Caenorhabditis elegans: one gene and its partners. The protein of the gene in region 3 interacts with the protein of the main gene of each other region in a pairwise test. Each region holds a gene or a part of one and is shown on either strand. Other genes may lie near its edges.

Region 1 (5,627 bases), 5.5 Mb from region 3:
ATACCTACATGGTCCAGAGCTGTGTGGCAAATTTTGAAACCAGCAAATTCGGCAAATTTTCCGGGGTCGTCATACTTGGTAAATCGCAACATTTTTTGGAGCTCAAAAAGTGCCAAAATTAACAGAAAATCTAAGTTGTTAAACATTTGTGGCAAATTCCAAATTTGTCCAAATTTTTGAAATTTGCCTTGCTCGGGCAAATTCGGCAAATTTGCCGTGGTTGTCGGACTCGGTAAAGCGCATCATTTTTTGGTGCTCAAAAAGTACCGAGTTGATGGAAAAACTAAGTTGTTAAACATTTGTGGCAAATTACAAATTATGTCCAAATTTTTGAAATTTGCCTTGCTCGGAAACCGGCAAATTCGGGAAATTTGGCACACCCTTGATCCCATAGCAGTGGCGCAAAAAAATCTTTAAAATTGTGGCCGTTTCCGTGCCAATTATAAATTAAAGTTAAACATATTATCGAAAAAATACGATCGCAAATTTTTCTCGTAACTTATTTTTGATCTACCTTGTTGACTAGGCTCCTCCCCTTCCTTCGACAAGACAGCCACAACAAAATAACAACGGCAACAAGATTATGGGCAAACACGTGGTGCCAGGCTGTCCCATTACAGTTTGATCTACAATAAATGCGGGAATTTTTCGCCCAAAAAAAAAGTGACGTCGGCACGTTCTTAACCATACAAAATCAGTTGAGAACTCTGCGTCTCTTCTCCCGCATTTTTTGTAGATCAACGTAATTCAAGCCAAAATGAGACACTCTGACACCACGTGGGCAGAGTCAACTTCCAAAGGTAGATCAAAAATTAATTATGAAAAAAATTTGCGATCGTATTTTTCGATAATAAGAGCCAACATTTTTCGGCTTTTTATGGAAATTTTTTTTTCAAAAAGAGGAGTATGGTCCATAACTATGCCATCAATACCAAGTCCTTCCAGAACCATCGTATCCATGACCGGAATGTTCGACATGGCCATGCTTCGCCAAATCGACCACGACAAGTATTTCTGCGACGGCCTCCATGTGTTCGAGTGCCCATGCGAGAAGAACAAGGACTTCCCGAATACCGACATCTCGGCTGCCTGCCATCTTTACATGGATGCTCAGCAGGAGATTCAAGACTCGGGAATCTTCGACTCAACAGATGACTTTACATTTGTCGTTCAACCATTCTTCAATGGAATCACAGTTCCACCACTCAAGCCCGACGGAGAAGTCAATCTGGATTGGTTTGCACCGGATTGCTTCCATTTCTCAAAACTAGGCCACGCCAATGTTGCCAAGCACTTGTGGAACAATATCGTTCAACCAGTCGGATCCAAGAACCATCAAGTCAATCTGTCAGATCCTACCATTCCACTAAACTGCCCAGACACCAAGTGCCCATTCTTCAGAACAACTAAGAACAGTGTTGACTGCTCGAAATATATGACTGCCTAGACTGTAGGAAATTGTGTTTGTGTGTGTAATTTGACGTACTTATCGGGTCTGCAATAAAATGTTTTATCGTGTAATCTTTAATTTTTAACGTGTGAGACATAAAAGAAAGAGCACCCTCAATAAAAATATCCACGTGGAGTACACAATATAGCTATCAATAGAGCGAGTAAATATTTTTGCAATAATTATTTATTAGAAGAATGGAGATCAAGGTAAAGGAAGAGATCTTGATTTTGAAAAAAAGATACTGGAAATACTAATTGTTCACGGGATTTCATAGAAGGGGATATATCACGACTTTTTCTTTGAAAAATAAAAACAACATAAAATTATTGCGGCTTCACAATCTGATCATCCGGTATTTCTCCAGATCTTTCCTTTTCCGATTCGATCTTCTTCCACTTGGTACGCCGGTTTTGGAACCAGATTTTCACCTGGAATTTGAGAAATTTCAGCTATGCGTTGAGTGCCGCGTTACGTGCTGCGTTGCGTGCTGCGTTGCGTGCCGCGTTGCGTGCCGCGTTGCGTGCTGCGTTGCGGGCTGCGTTGCGTGCCGCGTTGCGTGCCGCGCTGCGTGCCTACCTGCGTCTCCGTGACATCCAATCGTTTTGCAAGCTCACTTCTGTCACTACTTGACAAATACTTTTTCGCCTCAAACTGCTTCTCCAGTTCGAATACTTGTTTCCCGGAAAATGTCGTCCGCGCCTTCTTTCTCTTTGTTTTTTGACATTTTTCTATAGGAGACTCTTTGGCTTGGTCGAGGCTGGATTCTGAAAAAATATTCTTAACGGCTGATTATTTTTCTACGTGTAGCATTTTTCCGAAATTCATTGAACAAAATTAGTAAATTTCCAAAAAATTTTTTTTCCAAAATTTCGAAAACATTTTAATTTTTTTCAGATTTTCTAATATTTTAAAACAAAAATTGAGAGTAAAGGAAATAAAAATTGTGTCTTGTAATTTTTGTAATTTTTACTCAAAAAAAGGCCAGTGAAATACTATTACAGAAAATACGAATCGATGCACCATGTCAAAAAGAATAGTATTTCACCTCAAATGCACCATGCCCAAAACTAGTCTATTTTTCAACTACAAAACTTCATACACCTAATCCAAAGAAATCAACTTACTGCATCTTCCAAATTCATCAATTTCTCCATTAACAGTTGGTAAGTCAAGTATATCCTTTATCAGGTGACTAGTTCTTCTCTGAGGCTTCACATCAGACGTCAACAGTGCAAAATAGGGTTGAAGTAGTTGGAAGAGCAAGTCAGTTTCCATTTTGCACGAATGAAAAGAACTTCTGAGAGACTTCTCTATACAGTAGGTCTCGAGGTCCCCGCCTTCTCTTCAATCAAATAATTGAAATTCTGGACTCTCGGGGGACTTTTGACGGTTGACGACGACGACAATTTGCCAAAGTGGTCGACAATGATTGCGCAATTGGTGTGGAAAGAAGAAGAAGATGGGTGAGTTCTGAGATGATGACAAAAAGAGCATGAGCCAGCAAATTGAATAAGAGACCGGATTTCGAGAAGGAGGAGGGGGAGAGGAGGATTGGTGGTAAGGGATGATACTTGATGCAATTGAGGGAATGAGTTTCTCATACTTGACTATTAAATACTTTTCTTGAACTTAAATATTTGAATTGAAATTTTGGAGTAGCGGAGGCACATGTGATATTATTGTGCTAATTTGTAATACTTGGACTTTCAAATATAACCTCAATTATTTGAAAAAAACCTTTTGAATAGACCAGCAAGGTTGATCTACAATTTTTCATGGAAATCGAATTAATTTTGTAAGGATGTCTACTGAGTATAAGCTTATTGTTAGGCTTAGGCTTAGGTCTAGACTTAAGGCTACACTTAAATTTAGGCCTAGGCTTAGGCTTAGGCTTAGGCTTAGGCTGAGGCTTAGGCTGAGGCTTAGGCTTATGCTCAGACTTAGGCTTAGGCTTACGCTTAGGCTTAGGCTTAGGCTTAGGTGTTGGCTTCAGAATAAGCTCAGGCGGGGGTGAGGGAAGGGTAGAAAAAAAAGAAAGAGAAATTTCCAGAAATTCACAAAATCCAGAAAAAAACATATCTTTCACAAGTTTATATTTTTATAGCCTAAAAAATTACTTTTAAAATGAGGATATGCAACCCGCACGCAAAAAAACCTTTTTTTTTTTGAGCAATTTCACGGCTCTTTTTTTTTTAATTTAAAAATACAATAAAAAAACCAAAAAAATTTTCCGAGCCCAAATTGCTCCCAAATGCTCTAAATTTCTTTTGAAGTTTGATATATTCCTATTAGAACTTGAGGAAAATGTAAAACTAGAGAAACATAATACTACGCATGTTAAATGTAAATTACTTACTTTTAAAAAGTCGTACGTTATTTTGGAAAGTTTGAGGTTTTTGCATTTTTTCCGTAATATCACTGAACACTTTTATTTAAATATCATCAATTATCGGAAGTTTATAGGTTGCAGGAGAAAAAATATATTCTAGCGGGAAAATGAAATGAGACGGGGGGACATTTTTAACCAAAAAAAAATCAGAAAACAGTTGGTAATAAAATTATTCCAAGAAAGTATAAATTCATGACTTCCATCTTGGGAACATTCTTAAAAAATGTCAACGAATAAATCTTTGTGGCAAACAAACTTTTTCCATAAATGTTTCAGACCTTATATAGCGGACATGAAAGTTGATTGCTTATTTGATATGTCTTGAGTTTATTTTTTTTTATTTCAAGCGAGGGGAGATTTATTTGCCTAGATATATATATAATTATTACTGGAACGAACTGGAAAAAAACTTGGGATCAAAAAAATCAAAAATTCAAATTCAAAAATTCAATTTTTCGAAACTTTTTCTACAGCTTTGTCGAGAAGCAACAGACAAATACTTATAGCTAAAATTTTATTAATATTCTAGTTTTAGTCATGGTGAATCGAGAATTTGTCAATTTCCATGTGGTATCTTAAAAATAAACCGATACACGTGGTGTCAGGCTGTCTCATTGCGGTTTGATCTACGAAAAATGCGGGAATATTTTTCCAGAAAAATTGTGACGTCAGCACGCAAAAATTAATAAGGGTCTAACCAAAAAAACTTGAATCTTGGAAATATTTTTAATTCACCCTAAATTTTCCCCTGATTCCGAATATCTATGTGAAAAAATTCAAAAAAAATTTCCTGAATTTATATTTAAGCTTGAAATCTTTCATAAAAATTTTTTTTTTTTAAATTTCATTTGTACTCGCATCACTTTTTTCAAACTCGCGCCCAAATAAATTAGCGCGCGCGTGCATCGTTTGACTTTTTTTCGTTTAGTTTTTTTTATTTTAGCCGAATTCAATTTTTTTAAAACCAGTTTCATTCATTTTTGTCGGTTTTTTTTTTCTGAAAAAAATGTAAAAAAACGAAAAAAAATCAAACAATGCAAGCGCGCTCCAATGCTAATTTATTTGAGCGCGTATTTAAAAAAGAGACCGGGATACAAATGAAATTCGGCGATTTCAAGCTTAAATATAAAATCTGGCAAACTTGTTTTGAATTTTGAATTTTTTCACATAGATACTCGGAATCAGGGGAAAATTAGGATTCATTCAAAAATATTTCCCAGATTTCGGTACCCCACCTTAAAAATTTTTTTTTGGGAAAACAAGGAAAATTTCTAGCTTGAACTTATTTTATCAATACCTAAAATGCTGAACATTAAAACACACACACCCGTATGAGTATTATATACTTCCAAGGAAACATTTGAAAAATAAAGAGTTCTCCGCTTTGATTATACACTTGTGATATTCTCACGCCTGGCACTTGGCACCAGCTCAAAGTGCTCATTTTGGCTATAATTGTTTGAAGGTATATGAAAAAGTGGAAATTGGGAGGAAAAATGGCATGTTTTGGCTTTCTCTACCTGGCCTATGTGTTAGAAAACTCTTCTATGAAAATTCAGTTTAATTTTTTAATTTTTCTTAATTTTTAAAATTCTAAAAATGGCTAAACTTTCAAAAATATAATTTTTAAAAAGCCAAATACTATAAAATTTCTTTGTTAATTTCTTTATAACCAAAATTAACGATTTTCAAAAGTCAAATTTTTCAAAATTACAAAAAATTTAAAATTACTGTAAGATGCGCAAAAATTACAGAGTTTTCAAAATATAAAACACTCTTGTGGCC
Region 2 (9,524 bases), on a different chromosome or scaffold from region 3:
AATTTCAGATGATGTCAACGTATTCTTCCTCATGGAACTTGGCTCAACTCCACTTGCAGTCATAAATCCACGTGTCTGGTTTGGAATGTTTATGTGTTCTCTTTCATACATGTCTGTGGAGACTGGATATCCAACTGTCGCTATTGTCACTATTGTTTCAATGCTCATTATTGCCTACGCAATGGAGTATGTCGATTATAGAAAGAAGCAAGAAACTGAGAGAACCGCTGTCTACCAAATTCTTCCACTTGTCGATGAGAAGAAGTTCAGAGAACAAGAAATGATCTAACAATACTTTTCGTGTTTCTAAATGCTTATTTTAGTCAAATTGACTCAAACTCGAGTGATTTTATCAAAGATTTCAAACTTGTATTTTATGCCTCATTTTCACATTCTGGTTTTTCTTGTAATTAAGGTACTAAACTATAAAACTATATATTTTATTGACTCTTTTCATATTTTACTATTGGATATGTATATCAATATTAAACCCTCATAAACTAAACATAATTGTCTATTTTAGAGTTGAAGCCAACATTCTCTGGTGTGTATGGTTAAACTCCATGGCAACCCGACAGCTGTTCTTTTTGTTTTTGCACGAACACTTTCTGATTAGATTCTGAATATGCGAAAACGCCTGCTCGTATAGCATTTCCATTTCAGAAAAATTCGGCTAGAAATTCAACATTTTAACTTACAGTAGCTCATTTACTGTTATATTGCAATAATCTCTATTTATTTTCTCGGCATTCATCCCTCGAAATCTTTTTCTTTGCTCGAAATTGACTGGGAATTCTTGAAAATTATTCAGGAAAGTCTGAGTAGCTAAGAGATAAATCTTCAAAAAGGAGAAGAAAAGTTATATATGTCCAGGAATGGGTTACTGTAGTCATATGCTGCTTATTCGTATGTTTTTTTGGTGGAGCGGCAGCGATTTTAAGGTCCTCCGGTTCGCGGTGAGAGCTGTTAGTGTATATTTAGAAGAAGTTTTTTGAAAAATTCAGTCAGATGGACACTGATATCTTCTCGGAATACAGTAATCTTTGTGTGAAAAAGTTATATATTTTATTAACGATTTATCTTAGAAAAATTGTTAACTGTCAAACGAATGCTCTGAACATCTGAAAATCGTGCACTGTTCAATATGTTACACATTTTCGCTTTAAGTTCCGCGTTCAGCCTCACTTTCTAACCACGTCTGTGATTACACGTCTTCAGCGTTCGGTCATAAACTTCTGATTCTCCCTCCGTTTCGTCTATTTGTCGTAAGAATGTGTGTAGTCGTGTGAAACAAGTCTTTTTCGCCCTTTCGTTTTTAATCAGCTTCTTCACACGCAGACAGCTGATTCTGCTTTTGCAGTTATAATCTATGTCTTCTCATTCTCTCGCGCGCAACCATCGTTTATTTCAAAACGGGCGCATAATAACTTTTTAATGAGTTTGATTTAGTTTTGAAAAATAATATTCACATTCCTTAGAAACTATGGAGATTCACAATTCGGCGAAATCAGTTTCTACATATTACTGTGTACTTTTTACAACTTCTATGATTTTAAAGTGGCGAGTTTATGCGGAATGGTCTCGCCACGCTCTGCGATTTTTTTTTCAGAAATCTGGTATGTGCGCCTTTAAGATTACTGTAGAGGGTTTGCTGGCAAATCTCCAATTTTCTCGTTTCTCCCTTTTCTTCATTTTCGATTGTTCTTTTCCCAATTTTCTGTATTTTATGTAATTAGACATGCCAGAAAAATCTCTACAGTCATCTTAAAGGCGCACACGCCAATTTTTTCATGAGTTCGCAGTGCGTGGCGAGACCATTCCGCATTGATACGCCTCCCTTTAAAACCGTAGTAAACAAACACAGTCTCAAATCTTCAATTAAAAATGCTGGCTCTCGGAGCCATAATTCCATGTTCTCTTTTTCTCTCAGTCTGTGTTCATTTTACATGCGTCTTCCTGCTTTCTCTTCGTTTTCTTTGTGTGCGCCCATCTTTCCTCAGCTGCTGGCCTCAAAAAAAAGTTAGTGCAAAAATTCACGTATTACTAGGAGGCACATGCGAGAACGCGTCGCGCACATAACATGAATAAAGTGTGATTGGGCAGGAGACCGAGAGATTATTGCTAGCGAATAGCATGCAAACAGAGGAGTGACAAGACGACGAGAGTGGACACTCGAGAGTAATGTTCGGCGGAGCGCACTTTCCTCGATTTTCGTGGGCCGACCCTGGTGGGCGCTGGGGGCTATTTCCTCTCGGTTTTTCGATTTTATCTATATTTTTTTCTGTTTCTCCGCTTATCTTTACCGCACGCAATTTCTGACGAAAAGGACACCGACCTACTGCAAAGTGGTCAAAGAATACCAGTCTCTCAATGCATTTTAGGTGACACATCAAAAAGATTCAGAGAGATGGAGTTTTCAATGATTTGAGTTACTATACGATGCCTTACGTGTCTTGACCTACATTTAAAACTCTACCAAAGATCCTTGTCTAAACTTTGAAAAGCTGCTCGACCTCAAAAATTGGAGAAATATATATATTTAAATATGAGTCATTTTTCAGCTTAATTATTTATACAATATTAAGTTCAAATCAAAAGCTTAATAAGAAAAAGCTTAAAAGCCAATTTTAAAGGAGTATAAGCTAATTTTCATTTCCGGGTTTCTATGACGTCTATCATAACACTCGTGATGCATCTTGTTTCATCACATGGAAATTTCTCGTCGGTACTTAAAATGTTCTTCTTCTCAAAGCTTTTAATTTCAATTAATATTAAAGTCAAACAAAAATGAAATTTACAGATCTCATGAAGCTATAAGCCAAACTGAAAAATGCGTGCACGTCGTCAAGAGAACAGTATCTCGACGCCGTCAGCACCGTCGACGAGCACTTCTCCGCGGAAGAAAGCATCCATCGGAAATTCAAGATCTAAGAATCATGGAAGCAAAATGGAAATGTACGATCAATTCTATAAGGTTTGATTACTAAGACATACATAAGGTGAATAAGCTTTCATAGTTTTCAGAAATTCGTACGACCTCCAATGGCTCCAATTTACTACCCGACAGAAGAAGAGTTCTCAGATCCAATCGAGTATGTTGCCAAAATACGACACGAGGCCGAAAAATTTGGAGTTGTTAAAATTGTTCCGCCGGCGGTAAGTTATTTATTCGGAAAATTGTACGTCTGACGTTTAACAAGTTTTTAATCGTTTTTGAAAAGTCTGAAAAAAAGCGAAACAATGTTTGTAGTAGTTTAAAAACTTCTACTACTCCCTTCAATTAAATACTAAATATTAGAAAATTTTCAGTTTACTAAAAGAATGGTCACCACTTGAAAAGTGCAATTTTATCTGAAAATTTTTGATTTTTCCCTCAAAAAACGAATCGAGAAGCATCAACTCTCTTTTTTTGCAGAATTTCAAACCACCGTTTGCTATCGACAAAGAAGCCTTTACATTTCGTCCCCGAACTCAAAAACTGAATGAAGTGGAGGCAATTGTCAAAGAGAAACACACATTTATTGACCGATTAATCAATTTCAATCGATATTCTGGTCTAACTTTTGAGTTTCCAGTGGATCGAGATGGAAATATTGTCGATTTGTATCGATTACATCGTATAGTTCAAAACTTTGGAGGATGTGAAGAAGTGAATGAAGATGAAAAATGGAGAGACGTTGCCCGCGAATACCTTCCAAAGGAGCAAATGGCTCGCGGTGTTCCGTCGGCTTTCATAAATTTGATTCGATCACATTATAATTTGCACATTGAACCATTTAATCGAAATTTGAAAGAAAAAGCGATGAAAAATGATGATGAAAGTGATGATGAAATGGAAGAATTAAAGCATAAGTGAGTAATTAAGAAATTTAAATAAATAAAAATCTACAAATCAGTTAAGAAAACATAATGTAGATGGATTTTTTTGAAATTATATGCATTTTAAATTTTTCTTATGTACCCATGTTTTTGTTTTTTAGAACCATGAAAAAATGTTAAAACCGATAAATAGTAAAATTTTTAATTTTGTTATTAATAATTTCCCCCATTATTCTAATTAAAAACGAATGAATTTCATAGATATCAACATCACCACGGAACTATGCGGACAGAAATAGAAGTTCCAAATGATAAAACTACTGAAGGAGGGGAAGATGAGTGTCCAGTGTCGATGCAAAGTGGTCGACGGAGATCTAAAAATAAGAAGGCTTCATCTTCAAGAAAGACTCTTGGAACATCTTCAAAGAAGAATTCAACCAGAGGAAGAAGTTCGTTTTTTAAATTTAAATTTTTTAAATTTATTTTCACAAATTACAGAAAATAAGAAGAAAGCCGAAGGAGACGATGATGATGATGAAGATCCAATGGATCAAGTATTCTGCGTTGCTTGTAATGAAGGAAAGGATGAAGATCTACTACTTCTTTGCGATATTGATGGATGCAATAATGGTCGTCATACATATTGTTGTGATCCAGTACTCGATGAAGTACCAGAAGGCGAGTGGAGATGTCCAAAGTGCATTGAATCAGAGGATGCAAAAATCGGATTAGACTGGGGATTTTATGATGCGGACACAGAATACAATCTGAACTCATTCACTGAATTTGCCAACAAATGGAAATGTGATTATTTCGGTGTAAAAGATGTATCACAAGTGTCGTGTGATGCTGTGGAACGATCATTCTGGAAGAATGTAATTTCACACGAAAATCCAGTTTCTGTCAAATACGGTGCCGACTTGATTACGAGTCGAGTAGGAAGTGGATTTCCTCGAAAAGAAGATAAGCACACTGGCCCAGATCTGAAGCTGAAGCAGCAATACGCTTCACATGCATGGAATCTGAACAATATGCCTGTACTTCGAGAATCTGTTCTCTCACATTTTAATACTGGAATTTCTGGAATGATGGTACCGTGGGTCTATGTTGGTATGTGCTTCTCGACGTTCTGCTGGCACACCGAAGATCATTGGACGTATTCTGTTAACTATAATCATTTTGGAGAACGGAAAATTTGGTACGGTGTTGGTGGAGAAGATGCTGAAAAGTTTGAAGATGCATTGAAGAAAATAGCACCTGGATTAACTGGAAGACAAAGAGATCTATTCCATCATATGACTACAGCTGCAAATCCTCATCTTCTTCGTTCATTGGGAGTTCCAATTCATTCAGTTCACCAGAATGCTGGTGAATTCGTCATTACATTCCCACGTGCTTATCATGCTGGTTTCAATGAGGGACTCAACTTTGCGGAAGCTGTCAATTTCGCTCCAATTGATTGGCTATCAAAAGGTCGAGAATGCGTTGAGTCTTACTCAAATGTACGAAGATATCTTGTATTTTCTCATGATGAGCTTCTCTTTAAAATGGTTGAAGCAATGGATAAACTTGGAATTTCGATGAGTTTAGCAACACATGAAGAACTGATAAGAATATATGAAAAACAAAAAATGTTGAGAGAACTTCTCGCTCGCCTCGGAGTTTCCAATCGCCAAATGCAGCAAGTGATGTTCGAAAAGATTCCAGATGAACAAAGATCGTGTCGTTTTTGTAAGACGACTCTCTTCATGTGTGCATTGGTTTGTAACAAACACAAGAAAATGACTTGTGTTGAACATCATGATCATCTTTGCAATTCGTGTACAACGAAAGACTACAGATATCAGTACAGATTCGAGTTGGATCAATTGAACAATATGTGTGATGAACTTGGAAAGCGTACGGTTAACTACAATGGATGGAAAGAAGAGTCGGATGAGATGCTTGAAGAAGAAGGAAAACCAAAACTCGAGAGAATTGAAGAGTTTATAGATTCTGCCAAACAAAACAAGTATCCACAGACAGATCAAGTTCATAAATTGATAACAATTCGTCATACAGCCAAGAGTGCCATTGAAAAAGCAAATCAATTGCTCTTTAAGAAAGTACGAACGCGAACAAAAACCCGATGTCAGAGAGCCGACACTCGTACAGACACCGAGGGAGTACGGTCATTGATTGAACAAATGCAAGCCATGGATTGCAATTTGACTGTTATTATTGATAAACTTGAGAAATGGATGGAACAAGTTGAAATGTGGAGAAACAGAGCAAAAGATGCTATCTATCGAGAACAAGAATACTCAAAAGAAGAAATCGAGAAGATTATTGAAGAGGGAGATGAATATGATATTAAATTGGAAGAAATCGATGAGTTGCGAAAAGTTATTCAAATGAAGGATTGGTCGGATAGAGCAAGAAAAGTTACTACATGGAAGGCAACTCCCGATATGGAGAAAGATATTGATTTTGAGTATAAGCTTCGATATGCATCCAGTGATATTTTATCGTAAGATTTTAAAAATATTTTTTCTCTTAAAAGGAAATTTGTGTTTGTGGATTTTTCCTCGAATGGGCTCGGCCCAAAACGACCGAATTTCATGATGAGACCTTAAAAATATTTCCAAATACTCTATACCCCTTTAATTCAAAAATTCAATTATATGTTTCAGATTGATTCGTGATAGTCCACGAAATCCCACAGATGGTACTTCTAAACTCGTCTTTGAACTTCAACAAATGCTCCGTGACGCCAATACACTCGAGGTCATTGCAAACAATTTCTGTGAGAATCCAGCACTTGATCAGCTTCAATCAATTTGGCAAAGCCTTAGAGAAACTGATTGGTTCTATGAAAAATGTTTGTTATTTAATGCATTAGTAATTCTTACAAAATAATTTTTAAGATATTAACATGGTTCGCTATGAGATCATTCATGTTGCCAAAATCAAGTCAATGATAGATGCCGCAATTCCCGTGCTATCAGAATTTGATTTAAAAACACAACTGCAGAAAATTGTCAATGTTGAAATTACACTATCGAAGGCGGCCGAAATCAGTAAAGCATTCGAAACTTCAAAATGTCTAAACGGTTCCGAAGAGCATCTCGGGATTTTGGATATGATCAGCACAATGAATGCATTTACTCAGAGGATAGCTATTCTGTTCAAGCCAAATAATGCGTATCACAATCTTTTTGAAGTGAGTGAGATTCGTGAAATTTGACGATTTTTCGCAAAAAATACGGTACCCGGTCTCGACACGACAATTTTAGTTAAATACAAACGAATGTGCGCCTTTAAAGATTACTGTAGCTTCATAATTTCGTTACTGCGGAATTTTCATAGATTTTTCATAGTTTTCGTTATAAATTTATTTATTTAATAAAAAACTATGTTGAAATAATTAAAAACATGAGACAAATACTAAGAAAAAAAAAGAAAAATCAAGGAAAATTTCGCAGAACCAAAAATTTGAAATTACAGTATCTTTAAAGGCGCGCACCTTTTTAAATTAAACGAAAAAATTTCGTGTCGAGACCGGTGACCGTATATTTGGGTAACATTAATCCAATCAGGAAGTAGCATAGACATTAGCTTCGATCTAATTTGCCTTAAACTTGAATTTTCCAGATTCTCTCCGAACGCGATGATTTAACTCCACTTGCTGAAGGACAAACGATACCATTATATTTTCAAGGAGGCGCAGTACATCCATCTGATGAATGGCATCAAATGAAAGAATTCGAGTCATTAGATCAAATTGTGCATCATCAATCATCGCTACGTGAAATGCAAATGAGAATTTTTGAAAAGGTGAAACAAGCAAATTCAGCTCGTGGTCTTGAAGCATGCTCATGTCTTGGATTCAACAAATCAGATGATTCCGAATCAACACTGACATGCATAATGTGCGATTCAGAGTTTCATGTTCGATGTTGCGAGTGGTCACCGTTCCTTGAAAAACTTCCAGAAGGATGCTTTTTATGTGTTCGATGTCTACGGGGACAACGTCCAGTCATTGATGATGTAACAACTGCTCTGAATGGAACACCTTCTGGATGTTTGGAAACACATCTTGTTCGAAATCTAATACAAAAAACTCGTGGAATCACTCAAAATTTGATGGAAGCTGCTAATAAACGGAAATCAGGAGAATCCAGCGACGATATTTGTAAAATTGCCTTATTCGATTGGCTATCGTGTGAAATTCTGAATCCCAATGGTCTTCCGAAGGCACGCGAGCTGATTTCAGAATTTTATATGGAATATCTTCAAAAACAGTCAAGGTTTGTACACATTATATGTATTAATTTTATTTTTAATTTTTTCAGCGCCGCACTAGAACTCAAAAATCGCCCGGTTCGTTCAAAACCATCGGTATCACTCTTCGATCCAAAAATCACAGCTAAACGCAAAAGGCCAAGTGTTTCACACAAAGAGACGTCGAAAAAATCACGCAAACGTCAAAGTCAAGCATCACCCAGTGAATATTACGAAGACGAGTCTGAATTCAAGTCGTGTCAAGCTCGCGCCTGTTTGAAGCCATATGGAGACTCAGTGAACTGGGTGATGTGTGAAGCAGGCTGCAAAAACTGGTTCCATGTGATTTGTCTTGGATTCACTCTGAGAGGTAAATTAAGATCGGGTTTTGTGGTTTTTTGGAAAAAAAATTTAATTGTAAGGAGAAAAAAAAACGAACCTTTGTTTTGTGACAGACCTGATCTCAAAAAAAAACTTTGTGCCAAAAATACGGTACCCGGTCTCGACACGACAATTTTTGTGAAACACAAACGGGTGTGCGCCTTCAAAAAGTATACTGTAGTTACCAACTCTCGTTTCTGTGGGATTTCATTGTCGTAAAACTTTAAAAAATTTTAAAAACTTCCGCGTTTTTATTTACTCTTTAAAGGCACACAACTTTTTTGCAAGTAAAAAAAATTGCCGTGTCGAGACCGGCTACCATATTTGTTCAATTTTGCGTATTTGCTAATTTAACAATTTTTTTTCAGAAATTAATGACATGCACGAGTACCGTTGCTCATCCTGTCTGGATCATGCGGACTCTCCAACTTCGAGTGTTTCCACCGATTGAACCAGATTATATATTGCTTCACCAGTATCATATTTTCTAATTAAATTTATATAATACGTTCATCTTTTCACATCAACCCTAACCATTTTCATCAGATTACTGTCATATCTAGCCACTCTCTTTATTCTCTGTAATTCCAGCTACTCTGGATTTTCATCTCCATCATTTTCCTCTTTACTTTAATCGTTCTCAACACTATAAGCTTTCTCCTGAAATTCAGAAAATGTACCGTATTTCAAAACCACCAAACTTTACCACAGCTTCTTTCCTTTCATTGCATTCTTCTTCTTTTCATCGCGCAACCTTTCTCTCTCCAAAGTTTTTTAGTTTCCTCTGTTGAATCTCGCTTCGGGTTTTTTCACCCTAATCCATTTCCACCATTGACTGTTTTTTACAATTTCTAATATCCCTTTGCCTCATGTTCGGTCTTAACTGAAAAACTCTGTAAAATTCTAGCTTTTAAAAAGTTTTGTTTTGTTTTTTCAATTACCCCTTACCATAGTGTCTCAACCTGTCAAAACCTTTTCACATTTGTATCTAAATAATTTATAAACGCACCTCAAAACAGTGCAAGAATAATAATAAAGATAAATCCTTATTTACAGCATAA
Region 3 (6,824 bases):
GAACTATATGCAAAAATGGCATTTTGATAGTTCTGAATTTTCTAAAATACAAAAAAAAATTGCAAAAGTAAAAGGATTTTTGTGATTTTCAAAATAATCAAGTTAAAATCTATGAAATTTCGTATCAGAAAGTTATTTAAATTTTCAAAAAAAGAATTTCCGAAAAATTAAAATTTCTCACCTCTTCATGTTCATTCTTTTCATAAACATTCAAGAATTCAGCCGTACAAAATGAACATTTGTATGGTTTTTCATGTGCATGTTGCTGCATATGAGTTTTTAATGTATGTGCTTGACTGAAACTTATATTGCAAATTGAACAAACATTTGGCTTCTCTCCAGTATGTTTTCGAATGTGTTCAGTTATTTTTGATGGATATTTTATGTGCTTATTGCATTGAACACAATGATATATTTGTGCCGGTGGTCGTTTTTTCATTCGATAACTTCGATTTGTTGGATCATTTCGACGATAAAGACATTCGGGACGACTTGGAAGAATTTCGACGGATTCGTTGAATTGTTCATATGTAAATGTGGGAATTCGAGTAGTTGGTTGAAAAACTCTAATATTTGGAATTCGAGGACGAGGTAGTTGAGGTTTTACACAAGATTCTGCCATTTCTGAAAATATCGATTTTTATTTTTCGACGTTAATTTTTTATGGGCCTTCCTGGACCTTTAGAAAGTTTTTAGCAAATTAAAAAAGGTATATCTAAAAAAATTTGTTTTGGATTTTGTGAAATTTGAAAAAAACAATTAATTGGTTTTTTACATTCTAAACCCTTTTAAAACATTTTATAGAAAATTGGGCTCAAAAAAAAAGTACCGCTACATTTTTTCGAACTGCTCAAAAATAGCTTGCTGAAAGTTTGAAAATGTTAAAAAAAATTTCAAAATCTCATCTTTTCAATTTTTGCGAAAGGAGAAAGTTTCAAAATATATTGGCAAACAATAAAAAAAAAGCAAGTATAATTAAACAGTAAAAATACTGAATACGGAAAAGAAAAAAAATTTGAAAAATCTGAGAAAAAAAATCTTTATTAAAAAAAGAAGCAAAAAGAAACTCGTAGGTTAACCAAAATAAACTGAAAATTGTGAGAATTAATTCTCACAATTTTTCTAGAATTTGAATGAAAAAAATGGTTAAAAAATGCAAAATTTAATAGTGGCCTAGAAATTTGAAATTTGAATAACTCTTCCATTTTAAAAACTAATTGCTGGGTGGAATAGAAAACTGAATATATGAAGTAGAAAATGCTAGTTACCCTATAAGTTGCCTAGATATTGGAAAATGAAAGAGCTTTTTCAAGTTTCTGGTCAAAAATGAACAGTTTTTTGATCTTCCATGCTTCCTCCTTGCTCCACAAATTCCTCTTCATCATCTTCAAAATGAGCCAAGATCTTGACGTCATCACCATCACCAGTGAGCATTATAATCTGATTGTTCTGTTCATGATCATCTTCATAAACAATAACTGAATCCTGTGATTCCTCGTGATTCACTTGAACATGATCGAAAATTGGTGTGAAGAGCTCGGGATGTGCATTTTTTCGATGTCTCATGAGATATACACGACGAGCAAATACTGCATTACATCCTTTTACAACGCATGTGTAACGTTTTATACCTGGAATGTTTCAAAAATTGTAATTTTTGTAGATGACTACTCTTTTAAATATTTTTGAGTTAACATATTTTCAATAACACTCTTAATTTGAGAAAATTCTAAAATTTGCAACAAAAAAAAATGGAAATTGCTTTCTTTTTCTAAATTACCCCCGGTTTTAACCCAAATTTCGGATAGTAAAATATATTTTGAATATTTACCAGTGTGTACAGTCATTTCATGTTCTTTTCTAACAGAATCCGTTACAAAAGACAATCCACATCTCCAAGTACATTCAAATGGACGTTCTCCAGTATGCATTCGACGAATATGTACTTTTAAAGAGCTCGCTTTTGACAATGACAAGCCACATTCTCCACATTCAAATGGTTTTTCGCCTGTGTGTGTTCGGATATGATCCTGAAAAATGGGAAAGAAATTTGTATTTAAAAATAAATTTATCTTTCTTTTTTTTATTAAAAATTGTAATTTTTGATTTCAAAGTTTAGAAAATTCAACAATTTTCGATATAATAAATCATATTATATTTTTCTAGAAATTTCAGAACTTGAGAGGTTTATAAATAGAGAGAAAATTGGAAATTTTGTTTTTTAACACATTTAAACCTATAAGCTTTGATTTAAAAAATTTTAATTACAAATATTTTTTTCTGTTTGCTCAGAAAATCAAGTTTCGAATGCTTTTTATCGAAAAAATTGTTTCTCTGTCCAATTCTCAATTTTTCAGCAAAAATTCAGCTTGTGGGCACTGAAATAATTTTAATTTTTCATTTTTCACCAAAATTCGTTTTTTATCGAAAAAAAAACTAACAGCAATTTTGCTCGGATGTTTAAGCATTAATCCACAAATATTGCATTGTGCAAGTGTTGCTCTTCGATTTGAAATATATGCTCTTTTCTGAGGAGCTTTTTCTGGTTCTTCGATCGGAATTTCTTCATCAATCGGAGCCAAAACTCGAGCCAATACTGTATTAATAACGTCATCAATTCGAGCATTAGATATTGCAGCTTTTTCCATTTCTTTTTCTGATGGATATATAGATTGTTTTGTTGTTTGATTTGATGATTGAAATTGAGAAGGTGAAGAGGAAGAAGTTGATGGATCACTTTGAAATATTGAGTCTCTGCAAAGTTATTTTAATTTCTTTTAAATTTACCAATTCGGAAATAAGATGGAAGTTTTCGAATTTAGAAATTTTCAGGAGTTTTATTTAAATTATCAAAGTTTTTTATTAATTAAAACACCGATTTTTTAAATGTTGTTTTAAAATTTGTTAAAGAACAAAAAGTGTTAAAATCTCAATTTTAAAGATTGCTGATTAAACACCGCAATTCACTTTTTAAAAAATGTAAAATCTTATAATTCTTGTTTTTTGTTGTAATTTTTATTTATTTTATCAAGTTTAGTTCACTTCTGCATATACTTACATCGTTGGTGGTGATATATAATTAGCTAGTGCAGAATTTGAAAGTATATCCATATCCATTGATGGACAAACAATCTTTTTAACTGGTTTCAGATAAGGCCGTGCCGGTCCTGCTCGCTTCTGCAAAAAATATATCTTATTCCGGTAATCTTTTAGGATATAAATGCTTGATTCGATGTTTTAAATTTTTCTATAGCATAAAAACTTTTCTTACCAATCCATTATGGCTTAATTCGTGTGCAGTTCTGCGTGAATTATTCACAAATCGTTTGCCACAACCGAAATTACACAGAAATGGGAGATCACCCATGTGTTGAACACGAAAATGGTTAATCATTGGAGTTCTTTGAGTGAATCTCATTCCACAAATGTCACATTCGTATGGTTTTTCGCCTGTGTGAGTTCTCATGTGTTCCTGAACAAATAAAAATCTTCATTTTGTTATAAAAATAAAATATTCTGTACCATAATCCTCGATGGATATTTCAACGCAACTCCACATACTTCGCACGTCGTCACCGTCGGCAACTTTTGATTTCCTTTCCTTCAATTTTATATTTAATAAATTTTTAGCACAAAAATTTCATACTTTTTTCTGTATGTCGAATCTGGAATCTTGACAATCTCCTCGAGCTCTTCGTGCTCTTTTTGCGCGTCGGGAGTGCACTCAGCTGCCCATTCCTCGAAAATTGCATCGGAATTCTGAAAATTTTTGATTTTCTTAATGAAAATTGGAAAACTAAATTGAAATTAGTTATTTTACTTGCGATAAATGTACTACTTCGTCTAAATCCTCGTTATTCTTCATTTTGGTTGTTTATCGAATTTTAGGATCTGGAAAAATACACAATTAATGGCAATAAGGAAGATTTAATCATATAAACATAAAAATTTTAAAGATTAATAATATTTATATGAAAGGAAAAATTCAACAAAAACTGTTTTAAATAGAAGAAAAAGTCAAATATTGATTTTTTGCGAATAAAAAATAAAATTGAAAATAAACAACGACACTCCGATATCCCGTCTTCGAAAGAGCGCGAAATTTGAATTGAGGGTTTAATAAATATAATTCTTTGCAACGGCTGAAATCTTGTTTCTTAACGAGACAGAAGAAGAAGTAATGAATAGATCATTGCCATCACATCTTCATTTCCATTCAAATATTGGAGTTTAATCTTTAAATTGATAAAAGCCGTTCGGATAACATACGAGTAGAAAATGTTCATAGTGAAACAGCAGCACGTTGATCATGCAAATTCATAAGGAAATCAGGAAGTTTTACGAGTCTAAGAAATAGGCGAATGTTTTGTGTTGTGTATTGAGCGTTAGACAAGGAGATTTACGTAGATAGAATATTTTACTTTTAACGTAGATAGAATATTTATTATGAACATACGAGAAGGAATGTGAATAAAGGCTCAATACTCGAGAAATCGAAGAAAAAGAAATTGAGATGCAACATGGAATTTAATAACGATCTCCGTGATGGCGTGAGCGATCTCTTGAATAATCCCGCTTTCTTCTTCTATAGTCACGACGATGGTGATGCTCTGAACGTCTGGGGGTCCACTCATCTGTCGAGGGGCTTCGGCGACCACGCTGTGAAATTTACAGATAGATTTAGTTGGTTTTTTCGCATGATCGAGGAATAAACTAGGTCATTTTGCAAATTACTCACCCTCTGGTTTCTCAATGGCGATTTCGGTGTATGTTCCCTGTTACGTGGCTGGTGTCCTGCTCCACGTCCCCGTTGATTAGATGGAGACATCGGCGATCGCCTTGAGGGGCCCTCCTCCCGCTGCTCGGAGACGTCTGAAATGTTTGAAATCGAAACGATGGTCTGGGACCGCTTTGCTTCCGGAGAGATGAGGTTCCGGAATCAGCTTGTCCACAGCTAGAGTTGACAATGGTGCACCGAAAGACGAAGAACTCGCCCTATTCCCAAAAAAGTTCCCAAAAGCTGGCTGGGCCAAGCGAGGAGTGGAAGGACCTGTAAAGTCGAAGCTGCCTTCTCCAGATCTTTCCTCGACGGCTGGGATTGATGACCCGGAGACCGCACGATCGGAGAGGAATCCTAGACGTGCTGGTGCAGATGAATCTTCTGGCGCCTTTCCACGTGAGCTGGTAGGAACAACATTCTCTAACCGTGACATAGTCACAGTCTTGATGAACTGAACATCAGGAGATGAGGAGCCATCTCTCTGAGGCCCTCTGGAGTCTTTTGGGAGCTGGCGTACTTCGCAAAAACCCATATTTGGTGCAGGGCTCCTTGTAGTAACCTCTTCTTTAATTGGAAGAGCTGATGTGGAAGAACTGTTGAGCTCTACATCGATTTCCGGAACCTGGTGGCTGTAGGATGTTTTCTTCCTCGAGATCTGATTGAAACACGGAAGATCATCATAAGCAGGAGTTCCTCCAGTCCTCCGAGTGTTGTGGGCATAATTGGAGGAAGTCCTATGCTTATGGTATTCTTCCTTCGATATAACCATAAGAAATACGTTCAGCGACCTATGACGATCCACCGATTTATCTCTTCCTATCGGAGGAAGTACTTCCATTTCCGCGGTCTTCGAGGTGCACAGGTCTCCATTGGTGACGCTGTGATGGTTGTAGAGTTGGCTCGGATCCGTGAGATCCATGCAGCACTTCTTGCAACGGTAGAGGTAAGTCCTCCTGAAATTAAAATTATGTAATATTACAATGTAACATGGTGGTATAGAAAATGAACCAAAATCAACGTTATTTTTCTCAAACTTGCAAGAAATGGCTGAATCACATTTGAATTCCCGCGCAATTGAATGCACTAGTTTCAACATTTTTGTGTTTTCCGGCTAATATTTTCTTGTCCCTTCAGATAGTTGTCTAGTCCGTCAAACACTCTTCCATTTTTGCATTTTATGAAAAACTTACGTGTGAGTGCCCATGTGTGTGATGCAGTCAGCAAGGGTCCCCACGAACCCACATTCTCTTCCCCTCACGTCCATGGGGTACTTGCAGTACATGTGCATTTTGTTGGGGGCATAGGACGGCTCCGAGCTGAAATATAGAATAGTGGGAATACTATTTTTTTTCCTTAGTTTGGTGAGTTTCGAGTTGAACAACTTTGCTGCGAGACTCAGGAAAAAAACGAGAGAAAAGCTGACACAATTCATTTGTAATATTCCCCACCTAAATGAAAAGCACTTTTTCCGAAGTTTGTTAGGGGTTCAGCAAACATCTACCTTAGATCGGGTGACAACAGTCGAACGTGATATCTCACTATAATAGTACCGTAGTTAATGGGAAGGGTACGGTATGTTACATTAAAATTACTCATGGATACGGTGCGGTAAAATGGGTTAATGTAGTAAATGGTATGGTAGGTTAAGTTAGATTTATTTACGGTATGGTACAGGGGTGTGCGGCAAGTTCGGCAAATTCGCCGCACCCCCCTGGTATGGTGCTAGGGTGCACTACAGATTACGGTTTTAAGAAGTACTGTAGGTTAAGATACCTTTCTATAGGGGAGGCCGGTTACGAGTACGGTAGGCTACGGTTTGATACCATAGGCTAGGATACTATACATACTGTAGGGTAATATTGGCTACGGTACTTCCAGGTACTATGTATATGTGATTGTGAAATATTTCAAGATACTATGGTACTGCAGGATATATAGGCTACGGAACAATAAGTAATAATACAATTTTTATAAAACTTACATCATTCTTCTAGCCTCCTTATTCATGTGGTCGCCAGCTCGCATCATTTTAACATTAGATTGA
Region 4 (7,852 bases), on a different chromosome or scaffold from region 3:
TGAAAATTTAGAATAAACTTGATTAAAAAATCGAGTGAAAAAACATTTATTTGAAACTTAAAAAATTCCGAAAAAAAAGTAAAACAAAATAAATTCTTCAAAAACTTTCAAAATTTTTCTTCCGAATTTGCACTCATCTCGCCTGGAGCTTAACGATAAGTATAATCATGACCCATTTCCATTAGTTTCCGAAATTCTTGGGTCTCGCAACGAAAAACTACAGTAACCCATTGAGTTTCTCGGCGGGACCCTTATATGGTTGTATTCAAATTGAAGCTCTCCGATTGATGAACTCAAATGTTTCATTAAGTTGTTAAAATTTTAAAAAAGTCAGGGCCCACCACGAAAATCCCCGGGTTACGGTAGTTTTCATGGCGGGACCTTGAATTTGTCAAATTTTGGATTTTTAAACATTTTTATAAGATTTTTTAATACTAATTTTAATAAAATTAAAGTTTTAAAATACGCTGAATAACAAAATAACTGTGAAAATTTCAAATATTTGCGGAAATTAAAAAAAAAATTTAATTTTTTTTGTTTATTAAAATAACAGTTATTAAATATACTTGCTTTTAACTTTCAAATCTAATCAGTTGTAATAAGGTTTCAAAAATATTGGGTCCCGAAACGAAAACTCGTGACGGGACCAAAAATTTTTGAAAATTGATTGAACATAGACATAATTATACTTATTTTAAAACACTTGGCCAACTAATAACAGACATAACAGTGACACTCAAAAAACATCGGGTTTCTGTAGGTTTTCGTGGCGGGACCCAAAAATGTCCATTTTTACAGATATATTTGAAATCAGCTCACTAATAGCTTCAATTTAAGTCTTATCATGACAAATTTGGGTCCCACCACGAAAGTCACGAAAGTAACCCGAGGGATTTCGTGGCGGGACCCAAAAATTTTCAAAACTATCAAAACCTAGCCATGATTATACTTATTTTGAAGCTCTCGGCGAGCTGAATCTAGGAAAAATACCAAAAATTGAAAATCCAGAGGTTTGGACAAATTTTCAGAATTTTCGTTTTGAGACCCAAATTTTTTTTCAAATTTCGAAATTTCAGATTTTAAGGTTTTTATGCAATTGAGAGATGTTAATTAAATATGAGCTTCCCATACTTCTTTGAAATTTGAGAAAATTTGGGCCACCACGAAAGCCTACAGTAACCCTGGGAATTTCGTGGTGGGATATAATTTTAAACATTGAATTCATCAATCTGAGAGCTTCAATCTGGATACAATAATGTCATGTTTTCCTTTGTAAATTACAGGGTCCCGCCATGAAGTTCTCCGGGTTACTGTAGGTTTTCGTGGCGGGACCCAAAAGTTTCCCCTTTTTTAAAGCTTTCATTGATCTGAAACTAGCTTAAACCTTTTTAAAAGTTTCCTTCCTGCATGATAATATTTATTAAAGGAACATGGATATGCACACAAATAAACTCGGTGCTGGGATTATTCTGTTCAGATATTGCGACAAAGTGAAAGAGACCTGCACTTCTAATAAGGGGGAATACAATAAAAATTTAAATTGCAAAAAAAAAAATGTTGAGATTCTTTGTTTTTTCAGAGACCACCGCAGGGGTCAGTGGGATTTTTTGTTGGAAAAGTGAAAACGGAAATACTGATAAAGCTCACAGTTGATCGGGAGGGGACATTGGGGGATATATCACACGAGATAATAAAATATAATAATCAGGGAGACTTGCGCTGCTCCTGTGACTGATTCAACTGATTAATTTGCTCGAGAAAGGTCAGCGCGTTGGCTCCACCGTTAGCCATGCTCGGTAGGCCGAGAAGTTGACTGAAAACGGCTGCTTGACTGGTTGCTGGCTGAAAAGTTTAGAGTTTTTTCCAAAGAGTTTTTTTTTCGCTGGAAAAAAATTGAGCAAAACAACGGCTCACATTTTCATCTTCCCTCATTCTTCTACGGAATCGCTGTTGGATAAAATCTTTTCGCATGTGAACCGGCCGATGTGTCTGAAAATTTGTAGAGTTCAGGGGGGAGAATATTGAAAAATGAGGTCTGAAATTGGGTCTCTCCACAGATGAATCCTAAACGTTTTAATGCTGCGAGTTATTTGGTTCAGTTAGGGCTCACAAACCGAACATCCGGTTATCCGAATGTCATTTGTCAAGGTTTTAGGTTCCAGACTTTTCGGACGTGTAGTTTCTCAAAACCAGCGGTAACATCAAAAAGTAGTTCGGGGGCCTAAGCTTAAGCCTAAGCCTAAGCCTAAGGCTAAGTTTCAGCCTTAGCATAAGCCTAAGTCTAAGCCTCAGCCGATGCTTAAGCTGAAGCCTGGGCATAAGCCTAAGCCTAAGCCTAAAACAAATCCTAGACCTAAGACTAAGTCTCAGTCTGAGCTTAAGACTAAGCCTATGCCTAAGCCTAAGCTTAGGCCTAAGGCCGAGCCAAAGCCTAAGCCTGAGCCTATGCCTACGCCTAAATGTAGGCCTAGGCCTAAGCCTAATATAAGCCAAACCTAAGCTATAAATCCCTTCTCCAGATTCATTCAATACTTCCCTTAACTCGTTAACTCGCTCACACTTTTGGTTTTTTTCCTTCTTTCTCTCTCTCTCTCTCTCTTTCTTGACCACAAAAACCATCATCAAGATCCTCCTCACTCACTCAAAACCCATTCAATTTTCATCGATAATTAGTCGTCGTAGTCGGAAACGACCTTTCGAGATGGGTAGTGGTGGTGGTAGTGGACCAGTAGCTAGAAGTAGTACATAACATCAGCAGCCCCTATGGGTTTCTAAGAGGTAATCGGAGGACGAGCGTACGCGCAATCTTCTAATTATCTTTTGAAACGCGACGACGGATATATATATATTGTCAAGGTTGTGTGTTTTGAATTGGGTCAACACTATTGAAGCTCCTTTTTTGGTTTTTTGAGTGCTAGCTAGGCGTCATGTACTTCTCTACAGTAGTTATGGGCTCAATCTCTGTAAGAGTTTCCAGCAGTAACCACTGTACCTACAGTAACCCTCAGATTTTCAGCCAACTCACCCTATGCAGCCTATAATACAATCCACACGCGTTACAAACAAGCTTCCCCTCCAAATCCCTTCGCCACGCTGTCGTTTTTATTGTGGAGCAATTGGAGCATTTCGAGATGGACGAGTTGGCACTTGTATCGTCCTCCGAGCTACCAGCCGCCGCGGCGGTGGATGCGTGTACTGTTGGTGATGGTGATTTCTGGAATTTAGACTTGGTTTAGGTCTTGGTTTAGCAGTCTGGTCTGAAGACTATGCTACTAACCCCGTTGAACTGCATAGAGAGCTGATCGAGCAGAGTCTGCTCAACAGACGCACTTGGCGATTGGTTTCTGTTCTCCGACGGTTCCTGCTGCTTTGACTCTTCGGCTTTTACGGGCTTCTGCTCTCTCGCCTGCTGTTGAGCATGGTGATGAGCAGCGGCTTGATGTTGTTGTTGCTGCACAAGGTTTAGCAAGTTCATCATATTTTGTGGATTGGCCATGGGATCGACTAAAAAGTTTTCAAAGATTTGTACAAAGATCTTGGGATATCCTGCGCAGGTAGGCATGGCAGCTCTTTCAGGTCTTTTCCAAGGTCTATGTGGTTCTATTAAAAGCTTTATCACTCTAAGAACCTTTATTTTTCTAAAGTCAATGAAACTTACACACAAACCCGTTGAAATTCTGAAAATCGGGAAACGGAGAGCTCGCGGAAACCGGCGTCGAAATATTCCTTGTGATTTTCTCAAAAGGCGAGTCACTACCTCCATTCTCCAAATGTCGATTCACAGATTCTTTGGTGGGTTTCCGTTTGCGGCACCCTCCATTCGACTTTCCGACTGATGACGGAGAAGCACGGCTTTCAGTTGGTGATGGGGGATACTGAAATTTAAAATTTTCGTGATTTGGTCTTCTTGATTTCCAGAAATTACAATTATGACATGTGGTATCAGAGTGTCCCATCTCGGTTTGATCTACGTGTAGATCTACGAGAATCGCGAGAATTCGGACGCAGACTTCTCAACTGATTTAGCACGGTTAAGAACGTGCTGACGTCACATTACTTGAAGAAACAAAGAAAATCCCGCATTTTTTTGTAGATCAAACCGTGATGGGACAGCCTGGCACCACGGGACACAGCAGGAAGTTATGATCAACGTGGATGCAAAAATAAACAAGTTTCTTGGGAATGGCTCAGAATCGCGAAAAACTGAGAAAATAACTTTAAAACAGATTCAGTTTCTTTCTCGAAAATTGTCAGGCGGCGGGAAAATGCTGCGAAATAAGCTCAGTTTCAGCCCATTTTGGCTTATTTCTAAAGTTCCACCAGCTCCTTCCCGCAGAACTTTTGCAACATGGCCGCTAAAAGTTGTCAAAAATCTCACCTTCTCCTCGCTTCCGCTCTCGGACATTTGCTCAAGCAGGACTTTTTCCTTTTCACTGATAAGAGCTTCAAGCCTTCCGCACACTTCGTCAATTTTCGACATCATTTTTGAAACATCCTGTAAGAAAACGAATAGACCGGAGCTTTCAGCGCGGCGATTCAAATTCCTAGAATTTCAGAAATTCTCAATGAAATGAAAAATAATTTAATGTTTCTGGTAATCCGAGAATTACTTCATGTATGCCTGCCTATCGGCATTTGGCTCTAGTTGGCAATTGGGCAAAACTTGGGCAAAACTTGGATTCAGGCTGCACCAAAGTTTCCCCCAACTCTTACCAAACTTTGGTCCAAAATTTTCTTTTTTTTAGTTATACTTGGGTAGAAGTCTGACCAGATTTTAGTTTTGCCAAAGTCTTGCCCAACTTTTGCCCAAGTTTAGCCAGCTTCTTATCCAAGTTAATATTTTTTAGGCCAAACTTGGGCAAGAAGCTGGAGCCAAATGTCGAGAGTAGGCAGGCGCGTGAGCCTACTGCTAAACAAAATAATATGCACCTGTCGAATATCCTTGTGAAGCTGAGCGCATCCGGTGCACGCTGCTGCTGTAGTCGCCGTCTCCTCAACCCGATCCTCCATCTCCTCCTCCACCTCCCGGCTCACCATCTCATCCGGCATCTCCTCCTTCGACGACGTCATCTGTAAATCACGTGTGACGTTGTTTTAGAAGAAGAAGAAGTGGAGAGCGAGAGAGAGAGAGAGACGGAGAGAGACTGTGGAGCGAGGGGAGAGTGCGAGAGAGCGAGAGGACGAAGTTAAAAGCTAAAAGTGATAGAATGAGATACATACGTTTATCCGTCAAAAACCACAAGAGATAAGGAGAGAGAGAGAGAGTGAGATGAGATTTTTTCAAAATAAATATGAAAATGCAAAAATGATGATTCAAGTGAAATGACAAAGTGGTGGGAGGAGGTGAATATAACACAACCATGCACAGAGAATTGGGGGAGGGGCCTCCTGCAGAATGGGGCGGAGCCTAACTATTATTATAAGTTGTCGGAGGAGGAGGTAAAGCTCACAGTCGGAAACACGCGGTGAAGTTGGGGGAAATGGGGCACAATTATTATTAGAAAATTGGCGGAAAATTATTTAATACTGTATTTTTCTGAAGGGGTAATGGAATGATGAAGGATTGCTTATTAATCAATAATACATTATGGAGAATTTCAAATTTCAAATTTCAATAAATAAGAAAAATTACATAAAGGTATTGTGCATAAAAAGGATGTGAAGGGGGAAAAAATAATAATGATAATTAAAATGTGGCACTGCTATTCATGAGCTCTTGAGCCTGCGTGAATTGCGAGATTTGCTCGAGTAAATTGAATGTGTTGATGGCTCCATCAGTGCTCACTCCGCCGGTCGCCATCGTCGGCATTTGTGTGAGGAGTTGGTTGAAGATCTGTGTTGCCGCCGACGACTCTTTTTCCTTGTTCTTTCGGCGGTAGCGTTGTTGGATGTGGTTTTTGCGCATTTCTATTGGTCGGCGAACCTGGAAATTGGAAAATGAATTAGTTGTTAAGGTGGGAAGGATCTGGGTGAGCTTTTGGAAGGATCCTTAGGCATTTAGGAGCTTCTAAGAGGGGGGGGGGGGGTACTGTGAGGATCCTTAAGATCCTAAGTATCCCAGTGTGGTTGATCGCCACAATCGATCGCGCAGAAATCCAAGCAGCATAAGGGTCAGAATTATCTTATCAAAGGATTCTGTAGAATTGTAGATTTTCCCAGAAAATTCAGATCTCAGGATATCGGTGGAAAGATCCTTCGGATAGATCTTCGCGCTGGTAAATTTTAGAAGGATCCGCAGATGATGTGAATGTTCTTACTAGAGGCTGTAGGGGATCCTAGCGATGGAAGGATCGGAAGGATCGGAGGTCTCCTTTGGCTTAAGCTTCGATCTAAAGACTTCCGGTTGTTCTAGCATATCAAAGAATTCGTTGGGATCTCCATTATCACCAAGCTTCTGTCCTAGATAGCCTCACCGGATCCTAAGTCAGATTCTTGGATCCACCTGTCTCCTAATCAGACATCTGGTCTGTCCGGTCGTGATCGTCCCGTTTCCTGCACCGCCAATTATCATTTCTCCCAATTTCATAACCTTGGCCATATTAGATACACACACACACATCCATCTAAGGGCGGAACGTTCTTCTCAATTTGCACACACAATAGAGACAACAATAGGGGTGGTGGTGGTCTTCCATCTTCGGAGACGGCGGCGGGGTGGGCAATTAGGGTGAGAGTGAGTGTACGTGTATCAGCAAAAGGAGGGGGGAGATACAAAGTGGTGGTGAGAGGGGGATCACTCCGTAATTGCCGAATTTTTGATCCAGTGGAACTAATGGAAGGTCTTCTTGGGTATGGATCAGCTGATCTTACACCTTACACCGGAATCTTGAGGATCCTCGAATCACTGGAACCAATGAAACTTCTACAGATCATCAGAATCTTGAGCGATCGCCTCAAGATTGTTGGGATATCCTTGCTAGGTTATTCTCTGATGTTCCACCTCGGGAATCATCGACCTATTCCAGGAAACAGTGAAGCTCTGGTGCTTCTTAAGATCCTCAGAATCCTCAGGATCCTCCCTACAACTACCCCCGCCGCCAAAGTTTCGATATGGATTGGCGTGCGGAACCAAAAAGTCATTGGTGATGATGATGACGACGTTGAGGCTGGATTGTTTGCGCGCGCACGCGTGCACTAGTTTCATCTCCCCCTAATTGTCGGTGCCGGTGGTGAACAATAAGACGTCGTCGTCGTCGTTTCTTCTCCTAAAATGAATAAGAAAAGGAAGAGGTGGAAAGTCTATTCGAGTTACAGGTAATCATTGACTCGTCTCCTTCTGCGGCACGCACGCCGCCGCCGCCGCCGCCGCAGCCGATACGCTAATTATCGAGGTGGAGACGACGACGATGACGACGACCACATAATGGTTGAAGTGATGGAAATTGAAAGAAAGGTAGATACTGTATCGATGATGATGGAGATGATGATGATGATGAGGTGGAGAAGGTGGAGGTACTGTACTTTTGACCTACTGGGGTGGTAGAGTTCGAAATTCTTGATAATGCGGGGATCTTCAACAAGAACCAAGTAACTCAGAGCTTCTGATAAGGATCAGGATCGCATATGGGACGATCAGATGATCTGAAATCTTCACCTGAAGCCCAGGATTGCCAGGCTAAGAGGGTTATCACAGGCTCTCTGGCCTATCTAGGATCACCAGGATCCGAACATTCTCCAGAACGATTAGAGCAGCTTTAGAACCTGGATAGAGCGAATCTTCAGCCTTCAAGGATCGGCAGGACCCGAGAACCTTCTGATAAGATCTAGGATAGCTTGTGGAGCTTAGATCTTAGAGCCTTTAAGGATCAGAAAATCCTAATCTAGCCAAACTGACCTAGAAATCGTCTTCGGA

What was found.
Region 1: the proteins of let-391 (region 3) and ceh-9 interact in a two-hybrid assay, tested with the Caenorhabditis elegans proteins (one large-scale study listed by BioGRID).
Region 2: the proteins of let-391 (region 3) and rbr-2 interact in a two-hybrid assay, tested with the Caenorhabditis elegans proteins (one large-scale study listed by BioGRID).
Region 4: the proteins of let-391 (region 3) and elt-6 interact in a two-hybrid assay, tested with the Caenorhabditis elegans proteins (one large-scale study listed by BioGRID).

Annotation. Positions count from the first base shown.
Region 1 is NC_003279.8:563,664-569,290, forward strand, and holds ceh-9 (Homeobox protein ceh-9), read right to left. Parts: upstream 2,926-5,627; 5' UTR 2,729-2,925; coding exon 2,578-2,728; intron 2,218-2,577; coding exon 2,030-2,217; intron 1,882-2,029; coding exon 1,777-1,881; 3' UTR 1,621-1,776; downstream 1-1,620. Other genes in the region: Y65B4BR.1 (Lipase_GDSL domain-containing protein), read left to right, coding at 946-1,447.
Region 2 is NC_003282.8:10,917,277-10,926,800, forward strand, and holds the start of rbr-2 (Lysine-specific demethylase rbr-2), read left to right. Parts: upstream 1-2,793; 5' UTR 2,794-2,830; coding exon 2,831-2,974; intron 2,975-3,017; coding exon of another isoform or gene 3,018-3,024; coding exon 3,025-3,156; intron 3,157-3,415; coding exon 3,416-3,852; intron 3,853-4,080; coding exon 4,081-4,268; intron 4,269-4,317; coding exon 4,318-6,328; intron 6,329-6,491; coding exon 6,492-6,679; intron 6,680-6,725; coding exon 6,726-7,021; intron 7,022-7,452; coding exon 7,453-8,108; intron 8,109-8,153; coding exon 8,154-8,452; intron 8,453-8,831; coding exon 8,832-8,914; 3' UTR 8,915-9,524. Other genes in the region: ZK593.3 (High-affinity choline transporter 1-like), read left to right, coding at 9-289. UniProt on the Caenorhabditis elegans protein: Histone demethylase that specifically demethylates 'Lys-4' of histone H3, thereby playing a central role in histone code. Does not demethylate histone H3 'Lys-9', H3 'Lys-27', H3 'Lys-36', H3 'Lys-79' or H4 'Lys-20'.
Region 3 is NC_003279.8:6,035,472-6,042,295, reverse strand, and holds let-391 (C2H2-type domain-containing protein), read right to left. Parts: upstream 3,894-6,824; 5' UTR 3,866-3,893; coding exon 3,839-3,865; intron 3,760-3,838; coding exon 3,647-3,759; intron 3,602-3,646; coding exon 3,523-3,601; intron 3,473-3,522; coding exon 3,272-3,472; intron 3,178-3,271; coding exon 3,059-3,177; intron 2,755-3,058; coding exon 2,442-2,754; intron 2,031-2,441; coding exon 1,832-2,030; intron 1,632-1,831; coding exon 1,321-1,631; 3' UTR 1,029-1,320; downstream 1-1,028. Other genes in the region: szy-5 (C2H2-type domain-containing protein), read right to left, coding at 182-622; C27A12.4 (C2H2-type domain-containing protein), read right to left, coding at 4,815-5,733, 5,971-6,096, 6,762-6,808.
Region 4 is NC_003282.8:1,915,195-1,923,046, reverse strand, and holds elt-6 (Transcription factor elt-6), read right to left. Parts: upstream 5,071-7,852; coding exon 4,930-5,070; intron 4,496-4,929; coding exon 4,379-4,495; intron 3,876-4,378; coding exon 3,659-3,875; intron 3,505-3,658; coding exon 3,278-3,504; intron 3,215-3,277; coding exon 3,026-3,214; intron 1,990-3,025; coding exon 1,915-1,989; intron 1,843-1,914; coding exon 1,705-1,842; 3' UTR 1,403-1,704; downstream 1-1,402. Other genes in the region: Putative transcription factor egl-18, read right to left, coding at 5,687-5,923.